4 linked regions of the Diceros bicornis minor genome follow. The protein of the gene in region 3 binds, or shares a complex with, the protein of the main gene of each other region. Links are inferred from orthologs where the notes say so. Each region holds a gene or a part of one and is shown on either strand. Other genes may lie near its edges.

What was found.
Region 1: the proteins of TUBGCP3 (region 3) and TUBGCP2 are in contact, whole or in part, in a cryo-EM structure (PDB 8Q62), measured with the Homo sapiens proteins. The link is inferred for Diceros bicornis minor from reciprocal best matches to the Homo sapiens genes TUBGCP3 and TUBGCP2. Residues at the interface, in NP_006313.1 of Homo sapiens: Glu272, Asn273, Cys274, Ser286, Leu287, Asp289, Thr290, Val292, Arg293, Glu296, Trp299, Ser361, Thr363, Leu364, Arg365, Leu368, Val369, Tyr372, Lys375, Ile376, Lys379, Ala382, Ala383, Asp386, His387, Ala402, Tyr403, Lys405, Thr406, Gly407; in NP_006650.1 of Homo sapiens: Gln172, His173, Pro175, Ile176, Phe177, Pro178, Trp180, Arg184, Ala186, Leu187, Ile188, Gly189, Phe191, Leu222, Tyr223, Val226, Val228, Asp229, Gly230, Arg231, Glu278, Ser281, Phe283, Gln287, His290, Ala291, Ala294, Arg297, Val300, Lys301.
Region 2: the proteins of TUBGCP3 (region 3) and MZT1 are in contact, whole or in part, in a cryo-EM structure (PDB 7QJD), measured with the Homo sapiens proteins. The link is inferred for Diceros bicornis minor from reciprocal best matches to the Homo sapiens genes TUBGCP3 and MZT1. Residues at the interface, in NP_006313.1 of Homo sapiens: Lys7, Pro9, Leu12, Leu13, Asn15, Leu16, Cys17, Arg19, Ile20, Leu21, Arg23, Val28, Gln31, Tyr34, Ala35, Val38, Ile39, Asn42, Phe43, Ala44, Pro45, Thr46, Ile58, Leu62, Arg67, Asp70, Phe74, Leu77, Lys80, Leu81; in NP_001065243.1 of Homo sapiens: Asn17, Ala20, Val21, Glu23, Thr24, Val27, Leu28, Glu30, Ile31, Ser32, Arg33, Ile34, Leu35, Asn36, Thr37, Leu39, Asp40, Glu42, Thr43, Ile46, Cys47, Val48, Arg49, Leu50, Cys51, Glu52, Gln53, Gly54, Ile55, Asn56.
Region 4: TUBGCP3 (region 3) and tubulin gamma-2 chain share a complex: the UniProt entries of both Homo sapiens proteins name them as parts of the gamma-tubulin ring complex. The link is inferred for Diceros bicornis minor from reciprocal best matches to the Homo sapiens genes TUBGCP3 and TUBG2.

The regions. Positions count from the first base shown.
Region 1 is NC_080745.1:95,367,271-95,374,512, forward strand, and holds the start of TUBGCP2 (gamma-tubulin complex component 2), read right to left. Parts: upstream 3,001-7,242; 5' UTR 2,933-3,000; intron 1-2,932. Other genes in the region: ZNF511 (zinc finger protein 511), read left to right, coding at 3,057-3,209, 3,560-3,633, 3,955-4,156, 4,381-4,505, 5,895-6,023, 6,831-6,909. UniProt on the Homo sapiens protein: Component of the gamma-tubulin ring complex (gTuRC) which mediates microtubule nucleation.
Region 2 is NC_080748.1:52,856,981-52,864,827, forward strand, and holds the start of MZT1 (mitotic-spindle organizing protein 1), read right to left. Parts: upstream 3,016-7,847; 5' UTR 2,964-3,015; coding exon 2,891-2,963; intron 1-2,890. UniProt on the Homo sapiens protein: Required for the recruitment and the assembly of the gamma-tubulin ring complex (gTuRC) at the centrosome.
Region 3 is NC_080748.1:86,404,546-86,411,543, reverse strand, and holds the start of TUBGCP3 (gamma-tubulin complex component 3), read left to right. Parts: upstream 1-3,994; 5' UTR 3,995-4,126; coding exon 4,127-4,202; intron 4,203-6,998. UniProt on the Homo sapiens protein: Component of the gamma-tubulin ring complex (gTuRC) which mediates microtubule nucleation.
Region 4 is NC_080757.1:41,711,242-41,718,947, forward strand, and holds the start of tubulin gamma-2 chain, read left to right. Parts: upstream 1-4,694; 5' UTR 4,695-4,880; coding exon 4,881-4,929; intron 4,930-5,182; coding exon 5,183-5,295; intron 5,296-5,477; coding exon 5,478-5,645; intron 5,646-5,959; coding exon 5,960-6,028; intron 6,029-6,371; coding exon 6,372-6,451; intron 6,452-6,852; coding exon 6,853-6,979; intron 6,980-7,640; coding exon 7,641-7,706. UniProt on the Homo sapiens protein: Tubulin is the major constituent of microtubules, protein filaments consisting of alpha- and beta-tubulin heterodimers. Gamma-tubulin is a key component of the gamma-tubulin ring complex (gTuRC) which mediates microtubule nucleation.

The sequences.
Region 1 (7,242 bases), on a different chromosome or scaffold from region 3:
TACCTTCAAAAAACGAACACCAGCACACTTCACGTAAACATCTCAATATACCTACGCAAGGGTTCTTGATCTAGGGTCCACAAACAACAAAAGAACTCTTGGAAATCATAAGTAAAATCATTTTTGTCTGTGAATTTTCTGAAGAGAGGGTCTTTCAACACACGCTCAAAGGCTCTGTGACCCAAAAAAAGGTTAAGAACCACTGTGCCAACAGCTCAGTGAAGATGAGCCATGAGTTAAAGAAAACATCAAGTGGAGAAGACTCAGCACACACCCTCACAACATGCTAACAATGCACATTAATTTGTAATTCTACACTGAGAAAGTGAGAGTCTAACCTCGTGTGATGGAGAACTAGTTCTCCATACGTAAACATCACAGTGTCACAGTATACAAACAGCAAATACTGGCCAGATGCAGGGTGTCTCCAAAGAGGAAAGCACAGCAGTAAGGACCAGCTGGTGTATTAAGTCACTAGCGCACGTCCTTTGTGAATCAGGAGGTGTTCCTAGTAACTACAGTTACAGGCGCAGGCACAGCAGGGCACAGGCTGTGGAACCCCAGACAGACTGAACCCTGACTTGGCCACTTCCAGGCCAGAGGGCCCTGGGCAAGGAGCTTGCCCTCTCAAAGCTTCCTCTGAAAGGGGTGAGTAGTAAACGCCAGCCACAGAGCTGCTGTGGAGACTGATCGTCTTATAAAGCACCACAGGGCCTGCGTGTACTGAGTTCTTGCACTAGTGTTATTAGAAAAGCAGGGGGGGCCGGCCCGGTGGCGCAAGCGGTTAAGTGCACGCGCCCCGCTGCGGCGGCCCGGGATTTGCCGGTTCAATCCCAGGCGTGCACCGACGCACCGCTTGTTAAGCCATGCTGTGGTGGTGTCCCATATATAGTAGAGGAACGTGGGCACGGATGTTAGCCCAGGGCCGGTCTTCCTCAGCAAAAAAAAAAAGGAGAATTGGCAGATGTTAGCTCAGGGCTGGTCCTCCACACACACACACACACAAAAGAAAAGCAGGAACAAGTGCTGCTGCTATTACCACGTAAAGCCAACCACTGCAAGTGTTCATTGTTGCCTGACAAATGGTTGGTTTTACAAAAGGAAAACTGGATCTGAATCACTGAGAGCATCGGAAACCATCGGTTATCCTACTAGTCACCCAGGGCCCTGAATGAGGCCCTACAAACCACAGAAAACAGAAAAGAAAACACGAACTCTCCCACTGCCAGCCTCTTCATACCTAAGAGCAACCAGATTGACCCACATTCCAAAAGGCTTCCTAAGGACTGCGGGTTGTCCTGTAAGGGCTGGCCTGAGGACCACCTTGGCAAGGATGCTGCTGCGTTTACCATGGACACAAAACACCCCTCCACCAGATACAAGCAGGCGGAGAGAGCTCTTCTGAAGAGAGATCACCTAAGTGAATATTTACTTAAAAACTATCTTCATGAATCTTCACAACTGTAGTAGAAATAAAACCACAGATACCCCACATCACAAGTATTAATCCTCGGAGGAGTCCACTGTTCTCTGTGGATTTGGGGAACAATTCCTGCAAGATTTCTGGCTCTGCCCTGCAGGGAGCACCTCCCCTCAGGGGACCTCTGGAAACGCATAGGGGTAACTTTTGGTTGTCACAGTGACTGGAAGGGTGCTCTTGGTATTTAGTGGGCAGGAGCCCAGGGAAGTTAAACAGCAACAGACACGTCCCACCAAAAATGCCAACAGCGTACCCCCTAAAAACAGCTGTGAGGAACATTTAATTGCAGCGGCTCACGTGATCTTTTTGATGCTCTTGACTTGTGTTAGTCACCACAAGTGGACAGACGCAGACTTCGGCGACTGAGCAGAACCCATCTCCTCCTCACACGAGTGTGAGGCAGCGCAGGGGCAAGGAGGCAGCGACACCTATGCACGAGTCAGGCACACACACCTGTGAACATCTGACTGAAACACAAAGGGAGGTGACAAGCACTCTTTGTTGAAGAGCTCAAAGCTAATTGGACAAACTGGCTTGAAGAACATTACTTTAAAACGTGTGAAAAATGTCAGGAGCCTAATGCTGTCTCAGAGACAGAAAATCAATGCATAAGAGATGAAAAACAGTCTGCGTCTGTCTAGAGCTCTTCTTAGGCACGCAAATGACCGGTGGAGGACGTAGCCACAAACCTTTACTTCCAAAATGAAGTGAGTGCAAGTTTCTAATTATATTTTTAAGTTACATTTTTAACTTCTTAGAGAAACAGCAACCCATTTCCCTTGCCACTGCACGTATGCGCGCCCGGCGTCTGCTCGGTGCGGAACCACTCGGGAACCACTCGGCGTGAGGAGTGGCGAGCGGGCCTGCGGCCGTCCTCCGCAATAGGGCTCAAGCATCCTTGCGTCCCTTCCGCGTCACCCGTCACCATTTAACTCGGTAACTGTGTCACGAGTTAGACGTCCGCCTCTCCTGCCGGGCTGCAGGCTCCGGAGCGGCGGGACCACCTTACTTCTACACGCCGCGCCCTGTCCGCGCCGGGAGAGGATGGGGTGGGATGGGGGACAATGGGCAGGCGGGAAACAGCAGGGCCTGGCGGGCCCTGGACCGGGGCAGTGGGAAGCCACCGAAGGGTTACGAGACAACTCAGGTCTCCACAGAGACCTGGCCCAGAGGCGGCCGCAGCCCGTCAGCCGGGAGAGAAGGGGTGCGGACGGGGGACGGCACCGGGGACGGGGGGAGGGCGCCAGCCGCGCACAGGGGCGGACGGCGAACAGAGACCCGCTCCGGATCCGAGCCGGCGGCGCCACAGCGCGGAGGCCAGCTCTCCCCGCGCCGGCCGGGCGTCCGGTGGGCAGAGGGCTCATGCCACCCCCCGGCCCCTACCCTCCAGACTCGGACCCCGCCACCCCTAGTCCCCCGGGCTCAGGCCCCCCGACCCCGGCTCCGACTCACCGCAGGACCCGCGCGCGCACAGCCCGCGCCCGCGGCGGAAGTGGCGCGACGTCACGTCCGGCCCCGCCCCGGCCGGCCCACAGACGGTGGCTGACAGAGTGTGGCGCCGCCGCCGCGCACGGCGATGCAGCTGCCCCCCGCGCTGCACGCCCGCCTCGCCGGGGCACCTGGGGCGGCCGAGCCGCTGCCCGTGGAGCGGAACCCCAAGGCCGGGGCCGCGCCTTTCCGCTTCATGGCGCGCCTGGTGCGCTTCCCGCGCGAGCATGAGTTCTTCGAGGTGCGTGAGCCGACGCCGAGGGCCGTTGTCCGGCGGCGGGGCCTGAGGCTCGGGGGTGGGGCCTGGGCCGTGGGCGGAGTCTGGTGGAGCGGAGCCTCCGGCTGAGGGGCGAGGCCTGGGTCGTGGGGCGGGCCCTGAGGCTCAGGGGCTGGGCTTGGTGGAGTGGGGCTTCTGGCTGAGGGGCGAGGCCTTGGTCGTGGGCGGAGCCTGGTGGAGCGGCGCCTCCGGGTGAGGGGCGGGGCCTGGGTGGGGGGTGGGGCCTGGTGGAGCGGGGCCTCTGGCTGAGGGGCGGGGCTGCGGCTGGGCGGGGCTGCGAGGTGCCGGTTCAGCCCACGGCGCGTGTTCTACAGGAAGGGGACGTCCAGCGGCACCTTTATCTCCAGGACGTGCTCACGCAGGTTGCCGGGGAGCCCGAGAAGCCCAGGTGAGAGAGGCCCTTCTCGCCCCCCAACCCCACCCTGCCTCCTTCCCGTGGCTCCCATCCTCCCCTTCCCGACCACCCCTGGGGTGGAGGTGGGGAGGACCTGCCGCCGCGCCCCCTGCCTGCACGGTACGCGCCGGAGAGGCTGGCCTCCCCACCGCCTAGCTGGTGTGAAAATATAGTTCTTAACAGGGTAGGATTTGGGGTTGTAAAAGAAACACTCAAAACTCTATCGCGTCACTTAAAATGAAGTTGTCGACAGGGAGTTTGATGTTTTTTGTCAGCAGCGGAATGGTGTCCCCATGAGGCCGTTTCTTTTGCCAGGGTGCCCGAGTTCACCTGTCAGGTGGCGGGCTGCTGCCAGGTGTTCGACGCCCTGGAGGACTATGAGCACCACTACCACACTCTGCACAGAAACGTCTGCTCCTTTTGCAAACGGGCTTTCCCCTCTGGACACCTGCTGGATGTCCACATCCTGGAGTGGCATGACTCGTTGTTCCAGATCCTGTCCGAGAGGCAGGACATGGTGGGTGACTAAGGCCAAGTGCAGTTGCTGAGGGGGTTTGTTTCTGAGCTGTCTGCCCAGCGGGTACCAGGGCCGAGGGGTTCAGAGCACTGCTCCCAGCTCTCAGGGCCAGGGGCAAGGCCAGGGGGCACCTTCCCCGCCCTTGGCCCCGGCCCTGTGCCCATGGAGGTGTGAGGGGAGGGCTGGGGGGGGTCAGGATGGAGGTGACGCCGTTTCTGCTTCAGTATCAGTGCTTGGTGGAAGGCTGCACAGAGAAGTTCAAGACCAGCAAAGACAGGAAGGATCACCTGGTGAACCGTCACCTCTACCCTGTGGACTTTCGGTTTGATAAACCAAGGAAAACCAGAAGGTACGTGAGGCGACACACGTGTCCACGCTGCAGGATGCGGCCACCTCTTGAATTTAGACAAGGTTTTGAGTGTGTAGACTTTAAGGATGAAGATGATGTAGTCCAGCATCTGTATCGCTTAACCTCTTATTTAGCTGCAGGTGACGGAAACCCTGAGAAGTCGAGAGTCACCAAAAGAGGTAGACAAGTGGGGGTGGTTTTGTGTGGGGTCCCCTGCTAGAGGACAGGAAGGGGAGCACCGGGCCTCCCGGGCTCTGTGCTGGGGTGACTGGGGGACCCTCGAGTGTCTGCCAGGGCGTGTAGGAACACCACCACGTTGCTCTGCACTCCCACCTCACGAGGCTGCACCTCTCCTCCGTCCTGTGCATCAGCTCTGCTTGCGTGGAGCAGCTGTGGGCCTTGGGATTTGTCCCAGGCCCTGAGCCCTCCCCTGACATGGGCCTTCTCGTGTTTCCTTTGTCCCATCAGTGCACATTTACGAACTTGACAACAAAGCGGTTTGTTACACGTCACTGTGCAGAGTGCACTGTGGGGAAATGCCTGTGGGGATAGTTCTTAAATCTGTGTTACGTTTCTTTGCCTGTTCCTGTAACTGATTCTTTCAGGTAAACTTTCATAACCATCTGAAAGTTGCATTGAATGAAGTCTACTCAGACTAATTTGTTTTCCTCTAACAGAACTTTGCTGTTTAAAGTAAAATAATTCTGAGAACCCACTGCGACGTGGGAGATTTTTGTAAGGCCTTGAGTATACGGTAACTCCTTCCTTTCCAAGGGATCATTTTAAGAAGAAAACCCTGCAATGGTGGATGGAAACATTGGTGTTAGGGAGGAGACTCTCAATATCGTACAGTCAACTTTAGTAAATTTCTCACTGATTGTCTGGAAAAGACACTAGGCACCCTTGGTAGGCATTTACCACGTGGCACCGTAAAAATACTATTTTCAAAAGACAAAGTATAGGGGCCGGCCCCGTGGTGTAGTGGTTAAGTTCCGTGCACTCCACTTCAACGGCCTGAGTTCACAGTTTCGGATCCCAGCTGTGGACCTACACCACTCATCAGCCATGCTGTGGTGGCGACCCACATACAGGATCGAGGAAAGATTGGCACAGATGTTAGCTCAGGGCCAATCTTCCTCAGCAAAGACAAAAAAAAGAAAGACAGTGTAATTGTTATACCTAAATTTATAAAATGTGGTATTTATCATATAAACATTCACTTATGACCTTCTGTAATTCTTCTTTTTGTCCTGGTAGCCTGGAAACTGCACTATGCCATCATTGTTTTAAAATATCTTTGCCAGAAAAAATAACATCTCCCTCACGAGTTCATTTCTAGGGGAAAACTGGGGCTGCAGGAGTAGACGCTCACCCCACTGTCCTCCACAGCCTAGCCACACCCCAGGTCACCGTGCAAGTGTCGGCAGAAGCCCTGGGGGCTGACTGGGAGCAGTCAGAAGGGGACGCCATGGAAGGCTGCTCAGAACCCGCGAGTGAGAGGCGCACGTGTGGCCACAGGTCAGTACCTGGTCTCTTTCTGGAGCAGGTTCTGCACTTGTGTCTTACGGGGAGAATCGCGGGGTTGAGCCTGGGCCGGCACCATTACTGAGAGAAGCTGGCGCCGGGTCGGAGTGTGCGCTTCAGCAGGAATTAAAGCGTGACTCTCCTGTCTCCGAGTAACTTAGTTTCTCTCGTGCACTCTGTGTTTGGTACCCTTGCAGCACAGAGACGCAGAGCACCCCCCCTTGTCATCGTGGCCTAAACTGGGATAGAAAGAACCTTGGTTGTAATTGCATAAGTTACAACCTGTGAGTCTGTCTTTCTAGCATGAACTGTGCTTTTATTGGGTTAAAGTTGATTTGAAATCCGATTTTGGGAAAAATGGAAAAAAATCGCCAACAAATCCAAGTTGACAAGAAAATAGACTCATGTCCCTCAGTTGCCTTTGAGCAGCTGCCCGGACTTTGGCCTGCGAGTGAGTCCCGGGTGCCAGTGGGTGGTTAGGTTTCACCCGATGGGGGGTACAGGAAGTTGGAGCCCTGGAGAGTTTGGCAGGAGGCAGCCTTCCTGGCCAAGTTCTCAGCAGCAAGCGTGTGTTGGTGGCTGGGAGGGTCTCCCATAGGAGGTGGGTCTGAGGCAGGCTGGCCAGCTGCAGTCAGGGAGTTGCCCAGGGCTGCACGAAGGGAGAGCCGACGTCCTGAGTGCTCCCCAGGGTGAGAGGGAGTGTCCTGGAACGAGAGGAACACACCCGAGACCGGTTATGAATTGGGTCATTTGTTGGTGAAAGGTGTAACAGTTTAGTGTGAAGATTGTTTTCCATTTCAGAATACCTCCTATCATCTGTTTTGGTCAAGGTGCATCACGAGGATTTAAAAGCACCAAGAAAAGAAATAAACACCAGTGACAACTGAGATGGAGAGAAAGAATCACAGGCCTGCGGGCAGACCCTGAGGCAGGACCCTTGCCTTTTGCAGGACATGGTGTCAGTGGTGGGCTTTTCTTTCGCCTGCTGGTGTGGCCCCTAGGACCCAGGCCTTTGCCACCCTCAATGTCTGGGTCCCTGGGCTAATGATGGAATGATGTCAGTAGCCATCATCAGAAGCAGTGAGAGTCCCACAGGTTCCAGAAATGAGCCCAACAGGTGCTCCAATGAGTGAGACGTGGAGACTGGCCCACCTCCCTCTGCAGGGCCATCCTGAGAATGTCCTTTTTAAACACAAAAAGTAAATGTATTTCA
Region 2 (7,847 bases), about 34 Mb from region 3:
AGAAGTCCACTGCTTCCTCCCCTGTCTTTATCAAAATCCTTTCAATTCACAATAAAATTACAAATATTTGTAGCTGAGTTCTACAATCCTTGCAAATCACTGACACCCATTAAAAGATTAAATCACTGTTAGCTGACTCTAATACTGACAGGAGAGAGGTGGTAAGAGGATGAGGAGAAATAGACTAGATCTTGAAGGAGGGGAGTCAGACTCAACAAGCTTTGAACACTTCAGTTAGGCTCTCATGGATAGTGAAACCCCTCATTAACAGAATTTCAAAAATAATTGTGTTTGAGTAGGTCAGCCCAGCCCCTTGGGCAAGCTAAAGTTTTATTTCTGGGAATGAGGGTGGAGGAAGGTGGGATTATAAAAGACTGCATTTAGGCCTTTTTCAGTTGAGTGTATGGTCAATTATTTACAGTGCAAGTGTCACTGTTTCCCTTTGTGCCTGAATCATTATTGACAGTATGAAAAATAGTCATTAACTTAGCAATAATTTCACTTCACATTTTACGTGACTGTCTTGGACCCGATTATGGCATGATAGCAGGGATTTTCTGTAAGTTTACAGTTCTAATGGACACAACAGTATTTGGCAGCCACATTTAACAAGGCTGAGGGCCGGGCCCATGGCTTAGCGGTTAAGTGCGCGCGCTCCACTACTGGCGGCCCGGGGTTCAGATCCCGGGCGTGCACCGACGCACCACTTCTCCAGCCATGCTGAGGCCGCATCCACATACTAGAAGAATGTGCAACTATAACATACAACTACCTACTGGGCTTTGGGGGAAAAAAAAAGGAGGAGGATTGGCAATAGATGTTAGCTCAGAGCTGGTCTTCCTCAGCAAAAAAAAGAAAGAAAAAAGAGGAGGATTAGCATGGATGTTAGCTCAGGGATGATCTTCCTCACAAAAAAAAAAAAAAAAAAACAACAACAAAGGCTGATCCGCTGCCTACTTGGGGCTTTCTTTTTACCTTCTGGTGTGTGGCCAAACTGCATGCAGAGGAACAGTGTTCTCTAATCCACACATTCTCTCCTCCAATTTTTGCTTTTTTAAAAATATCTGGCATTTCTTCACTTTTTCATGTTCTTACACTCTCTAAAATCTTTATTTTACACACAGTTCTCTCAGTAAAAATCTTGATGATGGAACCAATACAAACTATCAGTTCTCATTTCTACATCAGTAGTTCCAACAGAGATAAAACGCTGAGTTTTCTATTCAAATAGGATCCTGTGGCCGTAGACAATAATGCTGTATACATATAGCTTCTCTGTACATAAATCCACTTACAGGGCTGGCCTGTGGCTGAGCGGTTAAGTGCGCGCGCTCTGCTACTGGCGGCCCCGGGATCGGGTGCACATCAACGCACCGCTTCTCTGGCCATGCTGAGGCCGCGTCCCACATACAGCAACTAGAAGGATGTGCAGCTATGACATACAACTATCTACTGAGGCTTTGGGGGAAAAAAATAAAATTAAAATAAAAGAAAAATCCACTTACAAAACAAAATTAATAAGTTTTGATACATCAAGAAGGATGGGAAATAGGCTGAATATGATGTTAAGAACAAAATTCTATTTTTCAGAAAAACTGCAAGGAAGATACTTGGTAAGTAAAAAATTAGATGCAAAGGCTCTAATAATATAAGTAATTCTGTGAAAAGGAAAGCAGCAGCCAGTGCAGAAAAAGCCAGAAGCCTTATCAGAAATCTCTATAAAGAAGGGTTATATTAGGCAGTGGAGCCTACAGTGAAGGAGACAGAGGTAGGATATGTAGGCCAATACTGCTTAGCGAGAATTCCATGGGGTTATGTTTTAACAGAGATAGAGGGTGATGTGGGTATCCCCTGGAAAATGCAAAAAGCAATGTCTAACATCCATCAAACACATATATACATAGATGCGAATAAAACAGAGACAAAGGAGTCTGTAAGCGGGATGCCATTTTAACACAAAAATAATACAGTAACTATCTTTTAATGATCACGTTCAATATGCCTTTACCTAGTTATCTTATTTAAACACTCACGATAACCCTAGGAGGCAGTAACGTCATTCTACACACACACACACACGCAGCAGACTTAAAGATGTTTAAGCAGTTTGTCCAAGTTCACCACTAGAGGTACAAAGTGGCAGAGCCCGCATTAGAGCTTAGAGAGAGGGTAACTCCAAGACGCTCAGTTCGTCTTCTACCACCTGTGTGTCGGCTTTAAGCCGCACGCCTCGGGGCGCGAAGACAGAGAAATACACTACCGGCCCCGGACACCGGCGTCACCCGCTCCATGACGAAAGTGGGGCGATTCTGATGAAGGGGCGACTCGTTCATTCACCGAATGCTTAAAAAGCGCCTACTAAAATGCAAAGGACAAAGAATGTAGCGGTGACCGAAGAGACACGGCCACGGTGCGCACAGGCTGACAGTCTGGAGGCCTTCCACGGCGCGCCCCGCTCGCGACTAAGAGGAAGGGACTCACTGGGCGCGCCGCGCAGGCTCTGGCGCGGCAGGAGACGGGTGGGGTGGGCGCGGCGCGCGGGGCTGGGCAGCGAGGGAAGGACGCGAGGACCCGGCGCGGGAGAGGGGCGTGGCGCGCGGGGAGGGGGCGCGGGCGGCGCGCGGGGGTCCGGCGTGGGACGGACGGGGCACGCGCCGGGCTGACGTGGAGGCCCAACGCCGTGCACGCGACAAACTACGCAGGAGCGAAGAGACAACTCTCCAAAGATGGAGACACCAGCCCTGCGGCCCCGGCGGATCGCCTGGGAAGCTCTTCAAAGATGCCGTTGGGGGCAGGAACTGGACCTAAAGTCCTGCTGGGCTCACCCCCGCCTGGGGGCCTTGGCTCTGGGAAACGGAAGCGAGGTAAAGGGGGCGAAACGGGCACTCACCGTCCATGGTCTCCCTGACCGCGTTCAGATTCGCCGCCGCCGTCGCTGCCCCGGCGCCGCCACTACTCGCCATGGCGGAGGCCGAGGGAGGTGGGAGAAGGGCCTGACCCGGAACTGGAGCGCCTTCCTTTCTCCTGGGCAATCACACCGCGCGTCCCCCGCTCACGCCGGGCAGGCTCCGCCCCTCGCGCTCGTCGCCGGCGTGAGGCTGCGTTGATTTGAATTTGGAGCCTCGTTACTCTGCGCGGAATGTGAAGCGAGGAGTTGCCATTCGAATTTGCTACGCGGCCTCAATGCGATTGGCTGGTTCGCGGACAGCGGTGCGATGCGATTGGCCAGTCGCCCACAAGCCCCGTGCCCTGGTTGGCCTAAGACAGCGCGGAAGCGGGGAGTTAAAGAGTCTGCCTGTCGTGGGAGCTGGTCTGGCCCCTCGGGAGCGCCCTGGAGTCGCTTTGGGGGGCTTCCTTTTTATACACACCACTAGGTACGTTCTTTGTAGTTCTTGGCCTTTCTTGCTGTCTCGAATTGGAGCGCTTCACGTTTCCCGGCTCCGACCTGCCTGCCCGCTCGCCCCGGGGTGAATGGGAGCAGCGAGGGAGTAGGTGCGGAAGAAAGGGGTGCCAAGAAAGAGTGATCGCGTAGGGTTGGGGGTGACACCGGCATGAGTGTCCTCCTCTGCTCTTCTTCCCGAAGCCAGCTGCACTTCAGCGTTCCAAGAAGTGGATTTTTTTTCTCTAGTTGTAGCGCCCTGTTGACTGAAAGTAAAGCAGTCTTGCCTTCAATCCTGGGGGTCTTAGCGAAAGGAGGCTGTCTGAGGCGAGGCAACTAAAGGGGGTTAATTTCCTAGCCTCAGTCAATCGTACTTCTCTGACCCGGGCTGATGTGCAAGTAAGGCACCCGTGCACAAGCTTTCTTGTCTCTCATTTGCTTGCTACAAATACTTGTTGTTTAGTAACTGCAGTTTGATAGGGAATTGCTGGGTTGTCTGAATGATGTTCAAGTGTTTAGAGACTTGAGATAATGAATAAAAACACTATAGGTATAAGTCCTTTAGTTGGAAAAGGATTTGTGCTTGTAGTAGCATTTAGTTGCCTCGAAGGCGGACGTGAACTCAGTCATGCTTGGTCAACTGTTGCTTAAAAGCCACTTCTCTGAGCTCGTTAATTCTTCTGCAAAATGGTATCACTAATACATTTCCTTTCTAGCTTTCAAGGTTATCTAGAGGATCTCTTGAGAAAATGTATGTGATGCTTTTTGTAAATTATAAAAAAGCCCAAGAAGTTAGGTTTTGAGTTCATGCTTTTGTGAAATATATGTTTGTTGAATATATTTTAATTGTCAAAATGAATGTCTATGGAACTTTGTAGTTCTATTATACATACTTCTGATTTCCTTTTAGTTTTTTGTCTGTGCTATGGGAGATGTCAAAGAATCAAAAATGCAAATAACACCGGAAACTCCAGGAAGGATCCCTGTTTTAAACCCTTTCGAAAGTCCTGGTGATTATTCTAATCTCCATGAACAAACTCTCTCCAGTCCTTCTGTTTTTAAATCAACAAAATTACCAGTAAGTTATGCTTGACTAGTGTTTAAAAATAATTTTAAATGTAATATCTTTCTTTACAAGGTAGAGGGGAAATTTATCATGGAACATATATATCTGGAATGTGCTTTTTAAATTGTTCTTTATAGTGTAGTGGTTGGGCTAAAAATAAGTTAGCTAGAAGATTTTTTTTAGTTAGCATTTCTCTCTTTTTTTTTTAATTTAATAGATAATATGTTAGTTTCCTGCAACTGTGGATGTACCTGGATACTATGGTTGATGATATGTCTACAAATACCATATTAGAAAATAAGCCATGTCATCTAATTATCTATTCTCATTTACTCAGCAAACATTTGAATGCTGCTGTGTGTCAAATACAGTGCTAGGCATAGAGGTTATACCTTGAACAGTCCAGGTCATTAGACACAAACTCTCAAGAAACTTATACTCTAATGCAGGAGTCAGCAAACTTTTTCTGTCAAGGGCCAGACAGTAAATATTTTAGGCTTTGCGAGTCATCTCGTTGATGTACAAATACTCACCTCTGCCTTGTATCACAAAAGCAGCCATAGACAAAATAAACGTGGCTGTGCTCCAAGAAAGCTGTTTTTTGTGGACACTGAAGTTTGAATCTCATGTAATTTTCACATGTCATGAAATGCTAATATTCTTTTGGGATTTTGTTAACCATTCTTAGCTTGCAGAGTGTGTGAAAAGAAGCCAGTCTCTACTCTAATGGGATAGACACAACTAAACTAGTGACCACAGAATATGATAGGTGCCATGGTTAAGCAATGGTTAAGCATAAGAGTGACATGGAAGGGAAGGTGCTCTTGAGGGGATTAGGGAAGCCTTCATCACTTGAGCTTATTCTTACTGTTATGGGCTACATTGGAGAAGTTCTTTGGAAGTCTGATCTTTTAACCTAGTAAATTATCTACAAACTGGGTGGCTCTTTATGCTACACTTTCACATCAGCTTGAGCAGGTATGCACTAGAGGAAAGTTTTACAGTTACACAGTTTCTGTTTAGTCATTAATCTCACCTTATGATTTTTAATTGAATCATATAAATTTTAATCAGTCTTAATAAAAATAATTGAAGGACGGCAACTTAATCCTCAAGGCCAGAATGATTGGCCTCTGGGGTTTTTAAGCCTGAATTTGTCAAAAATATATTCTGAATTACAGATTAGCATTTGAATAAGTTTTTGGTTTAGTTGGATAATTGAATGCGAAAGGGCAGTGCTAGTTGCCATTCGTAATTATTTCAAGGATCAACTATTTAAGAGCTTTTGCTGGCACTTTTGTAGTTAGAACTTTGTTTAATTTCAGTTCATTTTTAGTGAAAGTAAAGACTTTTGATAACTCTAGGAGATTCTTACTTGGGCATGTTACATCACTGATGAGTGTTAATTGTGGAATTTCTATACCTTTAATGCTCTACTGTAATTTTTCTATTACTATGTAAAAAATCACCCAGAGGGAAGAGTTGGATATTTTTAAAGAGATACAGTCAAGTCAGTTGATTCAGTGTGATTTGATTACCATTTGCCTTTTAATTTAGTGGTGAAGTCAAATTTTAAAATATGATCTGTAAGATATTTTTATATTGTAACCATTTACATTATTTTTGAAGCTGATGTTGGTTAGCATTTTAATGAACTATGTTAGTTTGCTTTTACTCATAAGCTCACTTTTTTTCCTTAAGACTCCAGGGAAATTTAGATGGTCTATTGATCAACTAGCTGTAATAAATCCTGTAGAAATAGACCCAGAAGACATTCATCGTCAAGCTTTATACTTAAGTCATTCTCGGTAAGTTTTCCTTTCTTGCACGTAAGTGTAATAACCCACTCTCAAGTGAAGAGAGAGAGGAAATTCCAGAGTGAATATTTTTATATGTAAAGATATCAGGGAAGAAAAATAATGATACAGATTTATCCTATGTAACTGAAGAACTGTATCCAGAAAGATTTCCTCACTGACAGTTCCAAATCTGGGTAGGAGTTGTTTTCTTTTAGAGATAACCTTCCTCTGCTGCTTATGGGACAACTCTCCCTCCCCAGCATTGGTAGAGGGAGGGCATTTTGAAATTTGTACGTTTCTACCTAATTGAGGCTTCTGCCATTGAATTTTTGTTTTGTTTTCTTTTTTGGTGGTGTAGGGTAAAGCAAAATGCTATTTCATTGTCATCTATGTTTAGGGAAGCCAAAAATCCCCTTACCAAATTAAGACACATTGAATGGAAGGGTATCCATTAACAACAGAGAGAGCTTTTCTAGACATCATCCAACTTTGATGTGGGACACTTGGGGATCTGAATTACATTGTCTTGAATTCACCTAGTAATCAGAGCAGCCTTAACTTCTTTGTTAATGTGTCGTGTAGGTTTCCGACTACTAATGTGCCTCAGACTTGTGCTGCTTACTGATGCCTAATGTAGTGAGACCATGCACTTCTTTGGTGGAACAGACCTAGTTTTTGATTACAAATTGCAGTATTCTGTAATTACAAATTACTGATAGCAGTATTCATTAATAGTTCGAGGGACTCTTTTGTTGATGTCAGTTTTATAGTCTGATTTTTTTATATTTGAAAAAATATCACATACTGGCATGACCAGCTTTTAATTTTCAGTCCTAAGGTACATATGTTGTCAGTTCAAAATAATAGATAATCCTTTTCCCTTTAACTTTAGAATTCAATCACGCAAAGATGCGCACATGTTGAAATGCTCTTGCAAATATTTGTCTGGCTCTTCTATCCCTTCCTCTCTTGGCTTGGTAACCTGATGACCATTCCCTCATAATTAGTTAATGTTCCTCCAAAGTGTTGTAGAAAGGGAATAGAATGGAGATAGAGCATAAAAAGATTTTAACTTAAATCTAAATAATACCTTTGAAAAAGAAGGTGAAAAATAATATCTAAAAGCAAATGAGTCACAAATGAGACTAATTTTTTATCTCACACAAACTGTGTGCTTTATTTTGCCTCTTCTCTTCAGTATATTCAACTCTGGGCAACTATTATCTATCAGTCAAGAGATATTTGTTGAGCACTATGAGGCACTGTGAGGAACACTGAAGAAGGATAGAATGTTATTCCTGCCCTCTAGAGTCAACAATACAATTAAGCAAAGTTGTGACACAACATTTGTATAGTTGTTAATAAATGATGTATTGTCTGGGTAGGCTTATGAAAAGAATCTTGGTGTATTTCAATTGATATATTTATAATATAGGAGAGGGGAAAAGAGTGGGAAAAGACCCTAATTTTAATGTAATTTACTAATGTAATACAGTGAATGGTTATGGCTTCTACCAAGGGTAGTGAGTATACTCTTAAAACATGTTGAATCATTTTTAGAAACAAGCACTTGCTTCCGATGTCTCTTCCTGCCTAATCCGAG
Region 3 (6,998 bases):
ATAGTAAGCACCACTCTGCAAAACAGAAACCACTCTAGCAACTTCAACATGGGGGATTTAATACAGGGAATTATTTACGTGGGTGGTTGAAGCAGCTGGTGAGGACTAGGAGATTAACAAGTGCAGAAAGTGGCTACTTTTCACAGGGCTGAAGAGACAGCAAGAAGACTGATGTTACTGTATCCCACATTCTGAAACCTTCCAATGGGAGTGAGATCCATGATGAGAGTTGTACAGAGGAGGTTGGAACCACGAAAGAGGGGGCTGACTGGTGGAGATGTTGCCAAGAGGGATACTCAGTTACCGTCATAGGCAAAGTGAGAAGCAGAATGCTGTGAGGCGATAACTTTGGTTGTCTCCTCCTGACCTCCAGTTTCTACCAGTGACTCCCATCTGCTGAACCTGCCAGTCGTCCAGGGAGTTCGCATCACAGCCTTCTCTAGGATGTAGGGCAGATCAGGGAAGGGCAGGTAATGGATCTGAGAGCAAATAGGCAAACGATGGGCATGTCCTCCATGGAGCCATGCTTGAACCCCACCAGGCAAAGGTAATTTGTACTAGTTACCTGTTGTGTAACAAATCATCCCCAAACTTGAGGGCTGAGAACAATGAACATTTTATTTGGTAACAATTCTGCAACCTGGGCTGGACTCAGTGCGCGTTCTGCTTGCTTTGCAGTTTCTCTCTTGTGTGGCTGCATTTAGCTGGAGGGTCGGCTGGGGGCTGGGATAATGGAATAGCTGGGCCCCTCTCTCTCATTTCATGGGGTCTCAGGATCTTTCCCTTTCCATGTGGCCTCTCTCCATGATCTTTCCTGTGGGGTAGCTGGACTTTTAACATGGAGGCTCAACGCTCCCAAGAGTGCTAGGAGGAACCTGTCAGGCCTTCCAGAGGCTGAGGCTGGGAACCAGCACAGCGGCTCTCCCACAGCATCCTACTAGCTAAAGCAAGTCAGAGATCTTCCAAGGCAAGGGGAAGGGGATTATAAAAGGTGAGAATTCTGGGAGGCACAGTTTATTGGGGGCAAGAAATGTAGAACACTACCCCATAGCTATTTCCTCTACTATAGCATATGGGACCTGTTTTTAAGAAGTCTAATTTTAGGGGTTAGACTTCTGAAAAGTTTTTATTTTTTGCCAGTTACGTTTCCCCAAGTAGGCCAGGTAGATTCTCCACTTCTCGTCTGTAGTGACATCTCAGGCAGACCCACGGCCTTTTAGTCATATTTGGTTTTGAAAAAAATTCTGTCCAGTGTTGATGCAAATAATCCATAATCAATCTATAAATCAAAATTGGGGTGAGTTTATTACGAGCCAGATCTAAGAACTAGCCTGGGGCCTTCCTTCCCCAAGGAAGGAAGGGCGTCAAAGAAGTGGGGTGTACAGAGAGGTTATATACCGTCAAAGAGCATGTATCACATATGATTGGAATGTCCCTTTTACAGCAGTCACGTGACTGCCTAGCCTACCTACCTGGCACAGCGATTCACATAGCAATTGACGAACACAGCAGGTAGCAGGTCTGTGGTCTCAAGCTGGGTGGTCATGGCAGGTCAGCAATCAATCCCTAGCCTAGAGAGAGAGATACTTATCCTTAAAGAAATGCTGATGTGGGGGAAGTTACTTTATCTTAAGGGTATTGTTCTTGCCTTTGGGCATAGTAAATATTTAAAGCAGATATACAATGCATGCTCAAGGGTCAGTCAGGCCGTTTTGGAAAAACAAGATCAAGCTGAATTCCTTTTACACCAGATGGCTTCCTCATATACTCCAGTATATCCTGCTGCTTGTCATTTATTTATCACCAGGCAAATTCAAGGCGTTTGTGCCAGATCCAATCTACAGCTCATGACTTTTCCTCATTCCTGTGCACCCAGACCTCATCAGCCTAATGTATCTGAAGAAGGGAGGGGACATCAGTTGCCCTTCTATTTTCCTCCACCTCCCATTACTAATTTTAACTCTCTTAATTTGAGTCACAATGGAAGGATTAGGGACAGAGGTTAAAAATCTTTTAATTAACTTGGCACGAGACCGTGGCCTCTGTCAGTAGTCCTCACTTTCTGGTTAACCTTGAGTGGCCGTCAATGCCATCTCTGTGGCAGGTGTCCCAGGCCAACCCTCTTGTGGAGCACATGCATGACTTTTCCTGCGGGTTCCATGCAGGGGGCTCACCTCTGCACGGTTCCGGGCAGGGTAGGTCCTGATGTCCCTAAAATTGTCTCAGGACCTCCAGAACGCCCTCCTTCCCCACGGTCACTGAGCAGCTGTAGATGGACTTTCAGGAATGGGAGTGATGGTTGGAGAATTAGCAACGCCAGCGTGGCTGCGTCCTAACAGACCCCGAGGCAGTGTCTGCCTCCCACTTTCTATGGCTTTCTTTAAAATGTAGTGTCCTCAGTTTTGTATCTAGTTGCCAATTCTTGGACGAGTCCTTCTCTACATCCTGTTACATGCCCACTGTGTATTTTAGTTATTTTATTTCCATCTTTAGATCAGAAGAGCAAAGGCACACGCAGGTAAGTTTCAGTGACAGGAGCTGGTTGTAAGGACACATGAGCACATCGCCCACTGTGCTGGGCCTTGTGTTCTCTAATCGCCTTCCCTCTCTGTGCCGCTTGCTGTCTTTGCACCCTGTGACGTTGCAAGACTGCGGCTGGGGCTCCATGACCTCGAAAGCCTGGGCAAGCACAGCAGGACGGCTGGGAAGGAGGAGAGCTGTGGATGCTGCAGTCTGAAGCTGCGGTTCTGCTCTTGGTGTGAAGTCCTGGCCTCCAGTTGCCTCACTCAGACACTCTTTTGGCCTTTGTCTTGTGACTCTTATGGTTTTCCTATTCCTAGAACTCAAACGATGCAAGGCAGGTGTTAAAATGTGCCATCAGATGAATAGTGTTCCTTTAGGGCCTTGGCCCTTCCTCCGTAGGCTCCCATTAAGGCCCATTTGACAGCCCGAGTGCTAGCAGGGTGGTCTTGTTTGTAAGGCTTGGGTTCTCCTCTGACCCTGTGGAGGGGAGGGGTGGCTTTTTCTCTGCTTACTTGGTTGTTGGAAGTTGCCTGTTTTTCTGTGTTATAGTTCAGGCCACTGGAAAATACAAATTCTTTTGATCTTAATTCCAAATTCCCTGGAAAGAAACTTAGGTTGGTCCAGCGTGAGACAACTACTCGCCCTTGGTCTAATCTACTGACTTGAACAGTATACTCCTGGTTGCCGGGATCCCATAACTCTGACCAGCCGATGTGTGGACTGGCTCATCTGGCCCTGGACTGGGCCATTCTCAGCACCCGGCTTCTCCGCACACTCATGTGACACGTCTATAAGTTCGTGGAGAGTGACTTGTCCTAACTGCCTGTTATTCCTCCTTTTCAGGCCTCTCCCCTCTCTCACTCTTCATCTGACTTGTCTCTCATGACTGTACTGGTCACCTGGGATCAGGTGGGGACGGGCTCTGAGATGGTGAGCAGCCACAACACACTTCTGGAAAGCTGGATGATGTGCAGGTGTCACGCTCGACCAGATGTAAAATCGTAAAATTCTTGTACTCCTTTACACAGTCTTCTTCCACTGAAAGTGTGACAAGAACCGATGACGTTTTTAAAAAAGTAGGGACTATGGATGCGCTGCTGGGCACCAAGCACTCCCACAGCAAGTCAGTGGTCGTCCTGCTCTCGGGGACGTTTGGGGACATTTGAGGGTCTGAGCTGTCCTGACACTCTGGGGACGTCTGGGGGTCTGAGCTGTCCTGACCCTCTGGGGACGTCTGGGGACGTTTAGAGGTCTGAGGCGTCCTGACCCTCTGGGGACGTCTGAGGGTCTGACTACCGGGAGGCGATGAGCAGCGAGGCCCAGCGCGCTCGGTGCCGGAACCTTCCTACCCCGCCGGCGGTGGTCGGGGGGAACCCTTAGGCCGGCGCACCCGCGGCCCCGAGCGCCCGGAAGAAGCGGCGCCTTGTGGGAAGAGCCCGCGGTTTCGGCGGGTTCCGTTAAAATGGCGCCCTGGTCGCCGGCGGTGGCCGCGGGGCCTTAGCCTGTCGGGGACGCGGGAGCCCGGGCGGCGGGGTCTCCGGAGCGCGGCGGGCTCGGGCAGGCGGGCGAGGGCCGGGGGCTCCGCGGGCAGTCCCGGGCGAGGATGGCGACCCCCGACCAGAAGTCGCCCAACGTCCTGCTGCAGAGCCTGTGCTGCCGGATCCTGGGCCGGAGCGAAGGTAGCGGCGGGGCCGGCTCGGGGCCGGCTCGGGTCTCGCAGGCCGCTCCCCGCGCGTGCGGCTCGGCGGCGTCCCCGGGGCGAGAGCGTCCCCGGGGCGGCGAGGGGCGCGGCGGTCGCGGAGCTGCGGCCCCGGGCGAGGGCGGAGGGCAGGGCCCGGCCGGCTGAGTCACCGCTCCCCGCGCCGGGGCCGGAGTGGCGCCCGCGAGGACGGCTCGCGGACGCGCCCCTTGTCTGAGTCCCCGCACGGCGGGCGCTTGCGCGCTCACCGGGGTGGGGAGAGCGGCGGCCTGGCCGGTCACGCGTCTGTGGCCGCGCGCAGGGGGCGCCGGCGGGGCCGAGCCGCGTCAGGGGCCCTGGCCCTTAGCGGAGGTGGCAGCTTTGAGGCGGAGCGAAGGGGGTGCCGACGGCTGTCACCTGCCGTATTTTTCTGTAAGGGGCTGAGGGTTGAATTTGATATGGAACTGTTTTTGGGGAGTTTACGTAGGGAACACTGCTCCCAAACCCAGTCCTGCACGGTGTGGAAAGCCATTCTGTGGTCGTGGTGCTTGTGAAAATGGCACAGTGTGTCGTTTTGGTGGGAGGGAGGGAGTAGTGGGGATGCAGCGCGAAGGAATAATGGAGGCAACTGGGTTACTTATTCCTGAAGCACCGTAACGTGGAGAAGAAACTGTTCAGTTGTTGTGGGAAGACCTTAAACAAAATTACATCTAAAGTATTGGGACTACACTTTGGCCTTCAGGATTCATGGCAATTAGCTGACATCAGTTGTTTGATGTTCTATGATAACCTTAGGGGCAAAAAGTGAAGTTTTCTGTCAGTCTATTCAGTGCCACTGCCTTCACGCAGTTCTTGCTGCGTTTCATAAAGTTTCAGTGTCACTTTACTCATCTAAGACATTTTTGCTCCCACCCCAGCGCACTCCAGGTACCGTGTTAGGTGCTGGTGATGCAGAGCTATGCCGACAGGTCGTTCCTCCCGTAGATCTTAGATTCTAGTGGAGGAGACGTGATAAAATAGGTAAACGTATAATGTTCATTAGTGATCAGTGCTGTGATGAAAAATAAAGTAAAGGGATGTCGAGGGAAGAGGTGAGGGAAAGCCTCCGAGGACATGAATGGAGTGAGGGAGGGCCCTGTGAGCATCTGGGGAGAGCTCCGGGTGGAGGGTGCAAAGGTCTTGGGGTGGGTGCGAGCTTGGTCTGCTGTCTTCTGCGTTTGTCTCCAGCTCTTCTCTATGTGTCTCTCTGCACTGGGAGTTACATTCTGATTTGATGTTCCGAGTCATGGGAGAAACCCAAGAGCTAAGGTTGTTGGTTATGACTCGCTCACTTTAATGTCAGTGTTTTCATTAGACCGGTGGGTCCGCGGTTTTCCTCCAGGGATAAACCACATACGTTCCCATTGTCACAGCTGGACTTGGAAGGCCATTCATTGTGAGGTACCATGATGTTTCTCAGTTGAAACAAATTTTATATTTGCAGCTCCTTTCGATTGACTTAGTTTCACTGCTTCCAGGAGGTTGAAATGTCTCTTCAGCAAAGTTCTGCACCCTCCTGGCTCTCCATTTGGAATTGTGTCTAAATTAAGAGTGGGCAGGCTCTCTGTGAGATCCTGAGGGGATCCTCTCGGAGTAAAATATATTATAAAATCCATTAACGACAATGCTCTCTTTGTTCTGGACAGCTAGGATTGCCAAACAGTTATTATATTCATAATTCCAAATTATGCTACTATTTACAAAAGAATTTACAACTATTTAATAGCTTGCCTTGTTTTAATTTGTTCCACCTTAGTGGGCAAAGGAGCAATATAAATTGCTGCCTTTACAGTGTTTGACATTTGAAAAATTTTTTTTTTCATTAGTGGGTATTTTATCTGATAACTAAGTAGAACCTTTGGTTAATTACTTCATTTTTTAATGACATGTTACAAACAGTTGCTGTTATGCTTTTGTAATATATTGCTTTTCTAATACTATGAAATTGAGGCATAATAGACACGTTACTTTTAATGTGAATTTCATATGAATCAATTTTTCATAAAGAACCTTTTAAAAAAAATTTTACGGTTGGCTTCAAGGGACCTTCGAAGCAAAGCACCTAATGGTAGTGGTGCTTGACATTTTTCTAAAGTTAGTATAACCATTATTCCACCTTTTCCATCTTATAACACCTGTGAATTTGCTTGAACCACAACTGTCCACCAGTGGCAGGAGAATTCTCTCTCCATGTCTCTGCCTCTCTCCTGGAGCACATTTTGCTTATTATATCTTTGGATAGTCATTATTTGTCTTTGGAAATGATGTGCGTGATCTTATAGTGTTTTAACTCTTGTCAGAGGCAGCGTTCCTTTTCATACCTTGTAACCCTCTTTTTAATTATGAGATAAAGAAGAAATAAGGGAGTTTTTATTAGTAAATATTTCAACACAAATGCTTAGGTGTGACTAAGTACACTACATACTAAAGTAAGGTGATTGCCCTAATCTGTAACACCACCGTGAGTGCACTGTGAGCCATGTGTAGACAGATAAAGAAGTGTTGTGTGCTGATTCTTGGGCCACACATGGTGTTGCTGTTGGTTTCATGATTTTCCGAAATGGTGAAGAGCTCTTGATGAAGTTTTGAATAAAGTATGGTCTTCCCTGGATTATATGCTTGGGAAAATCAATGTATATTAAGTATACATTAAAAATTATATTAAATGTATGTTAAACTGTTCACCAAATGTCTATTAATATGTATATTGAAATTTCAGAGTTTTAGGCTTCATTTGAAAGTTGTACTTAATGTGTTT
Region 4 (7,706 bases), on a different chromosome or scaffold from region 3:
AAAGTCTTCCCCAGTCCCCAGGCCTCTCCCTGCCCCCACCCTCAAGTTAAGACCTCAACTCTGCTCTCTGTGCCAATCCTGCTGTGTGTTTTTCTCCTCTACAAGACCATGAGCACTTGGCTCTGTTACTTCTTCTTCCCCAGCTCATGTTAGCACGCCCTGCATAGTACAGGTGCATAATAAAAGAATGAAAGCAGGAGCAAATAATCCACAAACGGGATTATGTTAGGCTTATTTCCTTTTTCCTATTCCTTGAGAACACAATACAGAACAAAATAGCCTGTTTTGTCATAACCAAAATATGAATTTAGCATAACTCCCTTCACATAAAGAGCTCCAGCTCTTTGCCTTTATTGTTTTAATTTTTCCTTGGCTTCATTTTGAACGTTGAACTCCCTAGGGTCACAGGAGTCCAGTCTCAAGACCTTAAGTCTTTCTTCCTCCCAGTCCCGGAGAGACACCATCATTTCCCCACCTCACACCTCTGCCTCCGTACCTCCCAAGATACCTATGCTCCTGGCATACTACAGGCCAGGTGTCCAGAAAAGGCCAGAAATGAAGAGGCATACAAAAAAAGTCTTATTCAACCTAGAATGTCCAATAAAGGCTTTGGACATTTAACAAACTTGTTAGTTTACAAATGCTACATTTATCATCAGAGGCAGACCAAGGCCTCAGACAAAGGAATGCCACATCCCACTATGTTACCATAACCTGGATCAGAGAACATAGAGCCACGCAGATTAAACTCAATACTCAATAATCAAGCCATGGGTAATGACCTTGAGACTCTGGATCTGAAACCCAAGAGAAGGACCATGAACCTGGGCCTTCTGCTCAACCTCAATAGAAGTTTGATCTGAAACCAAATCTGTAGGGTGATCACAAATAATTAGGTTTTAATTTTTTCAAACTTATTTAAAGCAACCACTCATTTTGCTTTTACCTTGAATAAGATCTTTCATCTGTAGCAACAGCCAAGCTGTACTTCAGTTCCGATTGCATCTAGTGATAATAACAGCAGCTAACATTTGCTGAATGTTTTCTGTGAGTCAGGCACTATGCTAGGTGCTCATGCATCATCTCATTTAACCAATAGAGACCAGTCAGTTCTCAGCAGAAGTGGAAAGCATAGCCTGACAACAACCGGGAGGATTTATGTTCAGCTCTGCTAATGTACATGAGCATCTGAGTTTCCAACCGGTTTCTACAGACTAGGAGGAGCCTCCAGCTTGTCAGAGAGGCTTCTGAGGGAAAACTTCCATGGCAACTTCTCCAACTTAGACAAATTCACACGTTCTAACCTGTTTGCATATAAACTGGGATTCAAAGGAAGTTTTCCCACTTCTGGGAGACTAGGAGGAGCAAGGCACTGTTATTAATCGTAAGAAAAGGTTGACATTAAACTCTCACGTTTTACAAGTGTTCATAAACTGCTTACAGCTTATTATTTTAAAGGAAGTCAATAGCCGTTCCAGACTCACAAGGACGGGAGGCCAGGCAAGTTGACTCGCATCTTGGAAGCCTTCCTCCTCACCTGGGCAGACCCGGAGAGGGCCTGGCAAAGTCTCTGAAGACACTCAGCTCTTAAGGAGCAGTTCTGTCGGGGGAGGGACCCGAGAGGAGCTCCGACCTCACCCTCAAACTTCAAAGGGAGCAGCCAGACCCCCCCTTGAAAGGGCGAGGCTCCTTGTCCTCCTGGGGGATGCTCGGATCTTCCGACAGCCCGGCCGGAGCGGAAGGAAACGGGCCTCCCGGCCGGGGTGGAATAAGGAGAGGGAAACTGAGCCGAGGCCGGGGAGGCAGCGGGCGTGGGGCGAGCCAGATCCTTCTAAAGAAGTCCAGAGGGTTCCTGGCGGCCGGCGCTGGAAGGCGGCCGAGTTCTCTTAAAAAAGAGAGAGAGAGAGAGAAAAGAAAACAAAAAACCTCGTCTGAGCATGACTCTTGGCGGTGTGCTTTCGTCAGCGCCTCTGCAGCGGCTCCCAGAGAAAGCCTGCCAGACCAGACAGGGACAGGCAGACGGCCCAACAGAGCGGAAGAGCGGCCAGAAGCCGGCCCACTTGGGAGCGGGGGCTTGGAATGTTCCCGGGGTGGGGGACACTGCAGCGTGTCTTCATTAATTGGTTCGGAGACAATTGGCCATCCATATGGAAAAGATAAAGCAGATCCCTATCTTACAGCAGGCCTCCGAATAAGTTCCAGATGAAGTCAAGTCCTACAGGCAAGAAGCAAAACTGCTACGGGACTTTTGGAAGAAAACATTGAAGGACAGCTTTATGATGCTAGGAGAAGGGAAGGTTTCTTTAACAAGGTATAAAACGTGCAGAATAGAAAGGAAAAGATGGATAACTTTGTCTACATTAAAATTAAAACCTTCTCTATGCCAAAAGACACCATATGCGAAGCATAAAGACAAGCCATAGACCAAGAGACAATATTTGCAACCATACAACCAAGAAAAAATTCATAGAATATCTTAAAATATCTACAAGAAACAGCTCAATAGAAAAATGGGGGCCGGCCTCGTAATGTAGTGGTTAAGTGCCCCCGCTGGGCTGCTGGTGGCCCAGGTTGGGATCCTGGGCACGCACTGACGCACCGGTTGTCAGGCCATGCTGTGGCTGCCTCCCACATAAAGTGAAGGAAGATACGCATGGATGTGAGCTCAGGGCCAGTCTTCCTCAGCAAAAAGAGGAGGATTGGCATGAATGTTAGCTCAGGGCTGATCTTCCTCTCTCTCTCACACACACACACACACACACACACACACAAATGGGCAAAGGAGCTGAACAGGCAATTTGGAAAGGTCAGTAACAAAAGAAAATAAAATCAACTTCACTTGTACCATAACTGGAAATTACAACCACAAGATCCCATTGGACTCGCATCCATGGGACTGACAAAAATTAAGATCTGATAATCCAAGTGCGGATTAGGGTGTAGGGAAATGAAAACTCTATTGCTGGTAAGAGTGTAAATTGGTACAATCATCTAGAAGAAAATATTTGAAACCCTGTAAAGTTGAAGCTGCTCATGCCCTTGGTAGTGATGTTTTCTTCGTGTTCACAAGTGGACAAGTCTTATACTCGTTTGATGTAATAGGAAATAAGTGGAAACAATCTAATCTCCCTTGCATGGAAATAGAATAAACTGGTTTCATCCATTCAATGAAATACTATAAAGCAGTTGAAAGGAATGGAATAAATCTACATGCATCAACATGGCTAAATCACAAAAATCTAATGTAGGGTGAAAAAAGCAGGTTGCAAAAGGATATTACACTCTGATACCATCTATATAAAATTTCAAAACAAACAATATATAGTAAAAATACAAAATTATGCTTATATGCTTAAAACATTTTGTAATTTAAAATAAAACAGAAACCACAATGAGATACTACTTCACACTCATTAAGATGGCTATTATTAAAACAACAACAACAACCACCCAGAAAGTAATAAGTGTTGACAAGCATATGGAGAAATTGGAACCCTTGTGCATTGCTGTTAGAAATGTAAAATGGTGCAGCTGCTGTGGAAAATGATACAACAATTCCTCAAAAAATTAAACATAGAATTACCATATGATCTAGCAATTCTACTTCTGGGTATATACCCAGAAGAATTTAAAGCAGGGACTCAAACAGATCTTTGTACATAGATGTTCATAGCAGCATTATTCACAATAGCCAACTGGTGGAAGCAACCTCATGGTCCATCAATAGACGAATAAGGGTAAACAAAATGTGGTATATACATACAAGGGAATATTATACAGCCTTAAAAAGGAATGAAATTCTGACACATGCTACAACATGGAGTAACCTTGAGGACTTTATGCTAAGTGAAATAAGCCAGACACAAAAGGACAAATAATGTATACTGTATGATTCCACAGTATATGGAAGGCACCTAGAGTAGTCAGATTCATGGAAACAAAGTAGAATGGTGATGGGGGGCAGTTACTGTTTAATAGGTACAGAGTTTCAGTTTGGGAAAATGACAAAGTTCTGGAGATGAATGGTGGTAACGGTGGCAGAACAATGCATATGTACCTAATGCCACAGAACTGTACACTTAAAAATGGTTAAAATGGGGCCCAGCCTGATGGCATAGCGGTGGCATAGCTGTTAAGTTTGCACATTCTGCTTGGTCGGCCGGGGTTCCCCGCTTGGGATCCTGGGCACGGACCTACTCACCACTCATCAAGCCATGCTGTGGCTGCGTCCTACAGAGAAGAACTGGAAGGACCTACAACTAGGTTATACAACTATGTGCTAAGGCTTTGGGGAGAAAAAAGAAAAAGAGGAAGATTGGCAACAGATGTTAGCTCAGGGCCACTCTTACTTAAAAAAAAAAGTTAAGCATCCTTTATTAAAAAAAATGGTTAAAATGGTAAATTTTGTTAGATATATTTAATTTAAAAATAGAAATTTAAAAGAAGAAAATTGGCTCCAGCAGAGCCAGCGGAGTAGCTCACCTATATATATAGCGCCACTGACTCCATACACCTGGGCCTCTCTCCCCCCCCACCCCCGCTCCCCTCCCCTCCCCCACACCCGGGTCGCTACTCTGCAACCCCGGCAAGTCTCACCGCGCAGGCGCGGAGCTGGGGTGGGCGGGCAGGAGGGGGCGTGGCCTTCCTCTGCGCCTGTGCCGAATTCCAGCTGCAACTGCTGTGGGGGAAATGATGCCCAGGTTGGGCTCCGCGGCCCCCCGGTCGCGGGGAGGCCCGCACTGCACACGCGCAGACCGAGCACCCGCGTCAAAAGGCGAAGAGCGCGCGCTCTCCCCACGTCTTGCGCACCCGGCTGCTAGGCGTTCGTCTGGGCCGTGACTCCCGCCGGGCCAGGCTGGCGCGCCCACGTCTGGAGAGCGATGCCCCGGGAGATCATCACCCTGCAGCTGGGCCAGTGCGGCAACCAGAGTGAGCAAGCGAGCGGCGGGCCCCTCCAGTCTCCGGTTCTGCCTCTTCGGGTCCCACCCAAGTGCTTGGCATCCTCCAGTCCCCCTTTCCCTTCCATGAACCCCCTGCCGTAACTGCGCATGATGAATGAGCCCCAGACTGAGAGCCGCGCCTCCAGCCCTGGGCTGTGACGGCTCGCAGACCAGGCGTCTTGGGTGCAGCCTCTGAGTGTGACAGCCTAACCCTGACTCAGGCATCTCTTCCCATCCCCCAGTTGGGTTCGAGTTCTGGAAACAACTGTGCGCCGAGCATGGTATCAGCCCCGAGGGCATCGTGGAGGAGTTTGCCACCGAGGGCACTGACCGCAAGGACGTCTTTTTCTACCAGGTGCCCCCAGCGACTTGGCCAGGGGTCCTAAAGGGAAGGCAGCGGCCTGGTGCTGGGAAACCTGCTGGGCAGAGAAGCCAGGGCGGCTGGCTTGAGGAGGGAGGGCAGGCAGGAGCCAGAGCTGGGAGGACGGGGGCCTTGGCCTTAGCTGATTGGGCCCCCTCCTGGACTCCCCATGACAGGCAGACGATGAGCACTACATCCCCAGGGCCGTGCTGCTGGACCTGGAGCCCCGGGTGATCCACTCCATCCTCAACTCCCCCTATGCCAAGCTCTACAACCCAGAGAACATCTACCTGTCAGAGCATGGAGGAGGGGCTGGCAACAACTGGGCCAGCGGATTCTCCCAGGTATCCAGATGGCCATCTCAGAGACCCTTGATGTTCCCTCCCCTGGACAAGGCAGGCTCAAGCAGCCTGGGGATTTGACCAGACCAGACTGACAATAAATAAGAGACAAAGGGATACCCTAACAAGAGGGATAGCCAGGGAGTTTATGCAAACTTTGTGCAAATCATTTACAAAGTAGCATTTCTGGTTTGAGGGCTCCTGCTGAGGCTCTGCTTGAGGACAGCAGCAGTGCCCCAGGGTAGCGTTCTTGGTGCTAAAAAGAGATGCTCTCCAGAGACTTCATCCTGACCCTCCCTCCCCATGTCTCTATACAGGGTGAGAAAATCCATGAAGACATTTTTGACATCATAGACCGAGAAGCAGATGGAAGTGACAGCCTAGAGGTGAGGTTCTGCCCACTGAAGAAAAAAAAAAGGCTGAAAAGTGCTGGGGAAGGTCAGGTAGTAGGCTGAATGGGTGGTGTGATGGGGGCAATTCGATTCCAAACTCATTTATTGAGCATCAGATGTGAGATATCGGGGTAAATAAGGTACAGTTGTCATCAAGGAGATCCTAGTCTGGATGGCATCAGCTCCTTAGGCATGAGCCTTCCTTCCCAAGGAGCCTCAGCCTGGATGGATACACAGGAAGCCTTGAAACATGAGTGTGTTGGGAGTGGGAAGGAGACAAGCCTGAAGCATCTTCCCCAGATCCCTGGAGACTGCCTCTCTGTCCCTCTCTATGCAGGGCTTCGTGCTGTGTCACTCCATTGCTGGGGGGACAGGTTCTGGCCTGGGCTCCTACCTCCTCGAACGACTGAATGATAGGTAAGCCTGTGTTTGGGGAGAAGGCATTAGCCCTAGTTCTCTAGGTAATGTTTTTCCTTTTGGTTACTTTTTTCTCTTGGATTGGAAGGTCTGCCACTACCCCTTTGAGTCATAGGTAGGATCAGAGCCTGGCTACCCAGGGAACATCTTGGAAGCAATAACTCTGGGGAGAGAGGTTTGCCTAGGGAAGGAGGAGACCTACAGAGTGAATCTTTAGGCTTATCCTTTTTGGCTCCTGGGCTCTGAAGACTCAGTTCTGCCCTCACCCCTTTTGCATAAGAGCTTGGTGGCACTTGGAAAGGAATGGCCCCTGTAGACCCTAGAGAAGGCAGAGATGGGCAGTGATGGGGGGCCTTCCAATTCACTGTGCCACCTTCCCTTTCGCTCTTCCTCACCCCCAGGTACCCCAAGAAGCTGGTGCAGACGTACTCAGTGTTTCCCAACCAGGATGAGATGAGCGACGTGGTGGTCCAGCCCTACAACTCGCTGCTCACACTCAAGAGGCTGACCCAGAACGCAGACTGTGTGGTGAGCATAGGAGGAGGGAGTGGGGGGCTTTTCCCCAAACCAGTGAGACACATACACCCTGCCCTTCCCAAGCCCCTGCCCAGAGAACAAAGGACCAACAAAGCCATACCTGATGGCCCAAGTTATGAAATAAGGACCTGACCCCAAGTTACTTACAGTCTGTTTAGGCAGGTGGACTCGCAACAAAGTGAATACTCTCCCCCGCCAAGTGCTCCTACTCTGCCTATTTAATGCCTACTCATGCTTAAATTCTCAGCCCAAGAGTCACTTTCTTAGCAAAACTTTCCTTTCCACCCAATCAAGGTCAAATTCCTTTGTGCATATTTCAGGCAGTAACTATACTTTTCTTTTATTTTATATTTAATGTCAGTCTCCCTCCACTAGACTGTAGACCTGGTGAGGGGGAAGACCATGCCTGTTTTACAATCCAGGGTATCTCCAGAGCCAAGCACAATGCGTGGCACATGGGGACACTCAAATATTTGTTTACTGTACTGGATGGTAGAAAAGTGTCTCGTGATGCCCCAGACACAGTACTTTCCTTTTAAATTAACAAACGCACTTCTTGGTTTTGGAGTTTAGAGGGGAACTAAGCTAATAACTTATTTCTCTGCCCCCTTTCTCCTCAAAAAGGTGCCGTGACCCTCTTCTGTCCCCCCAGGTGGTGCTGGACAACACAGCCCTGAACCGGATCGCCACAGACCGCCTGCACATCCAGAACCCCTCC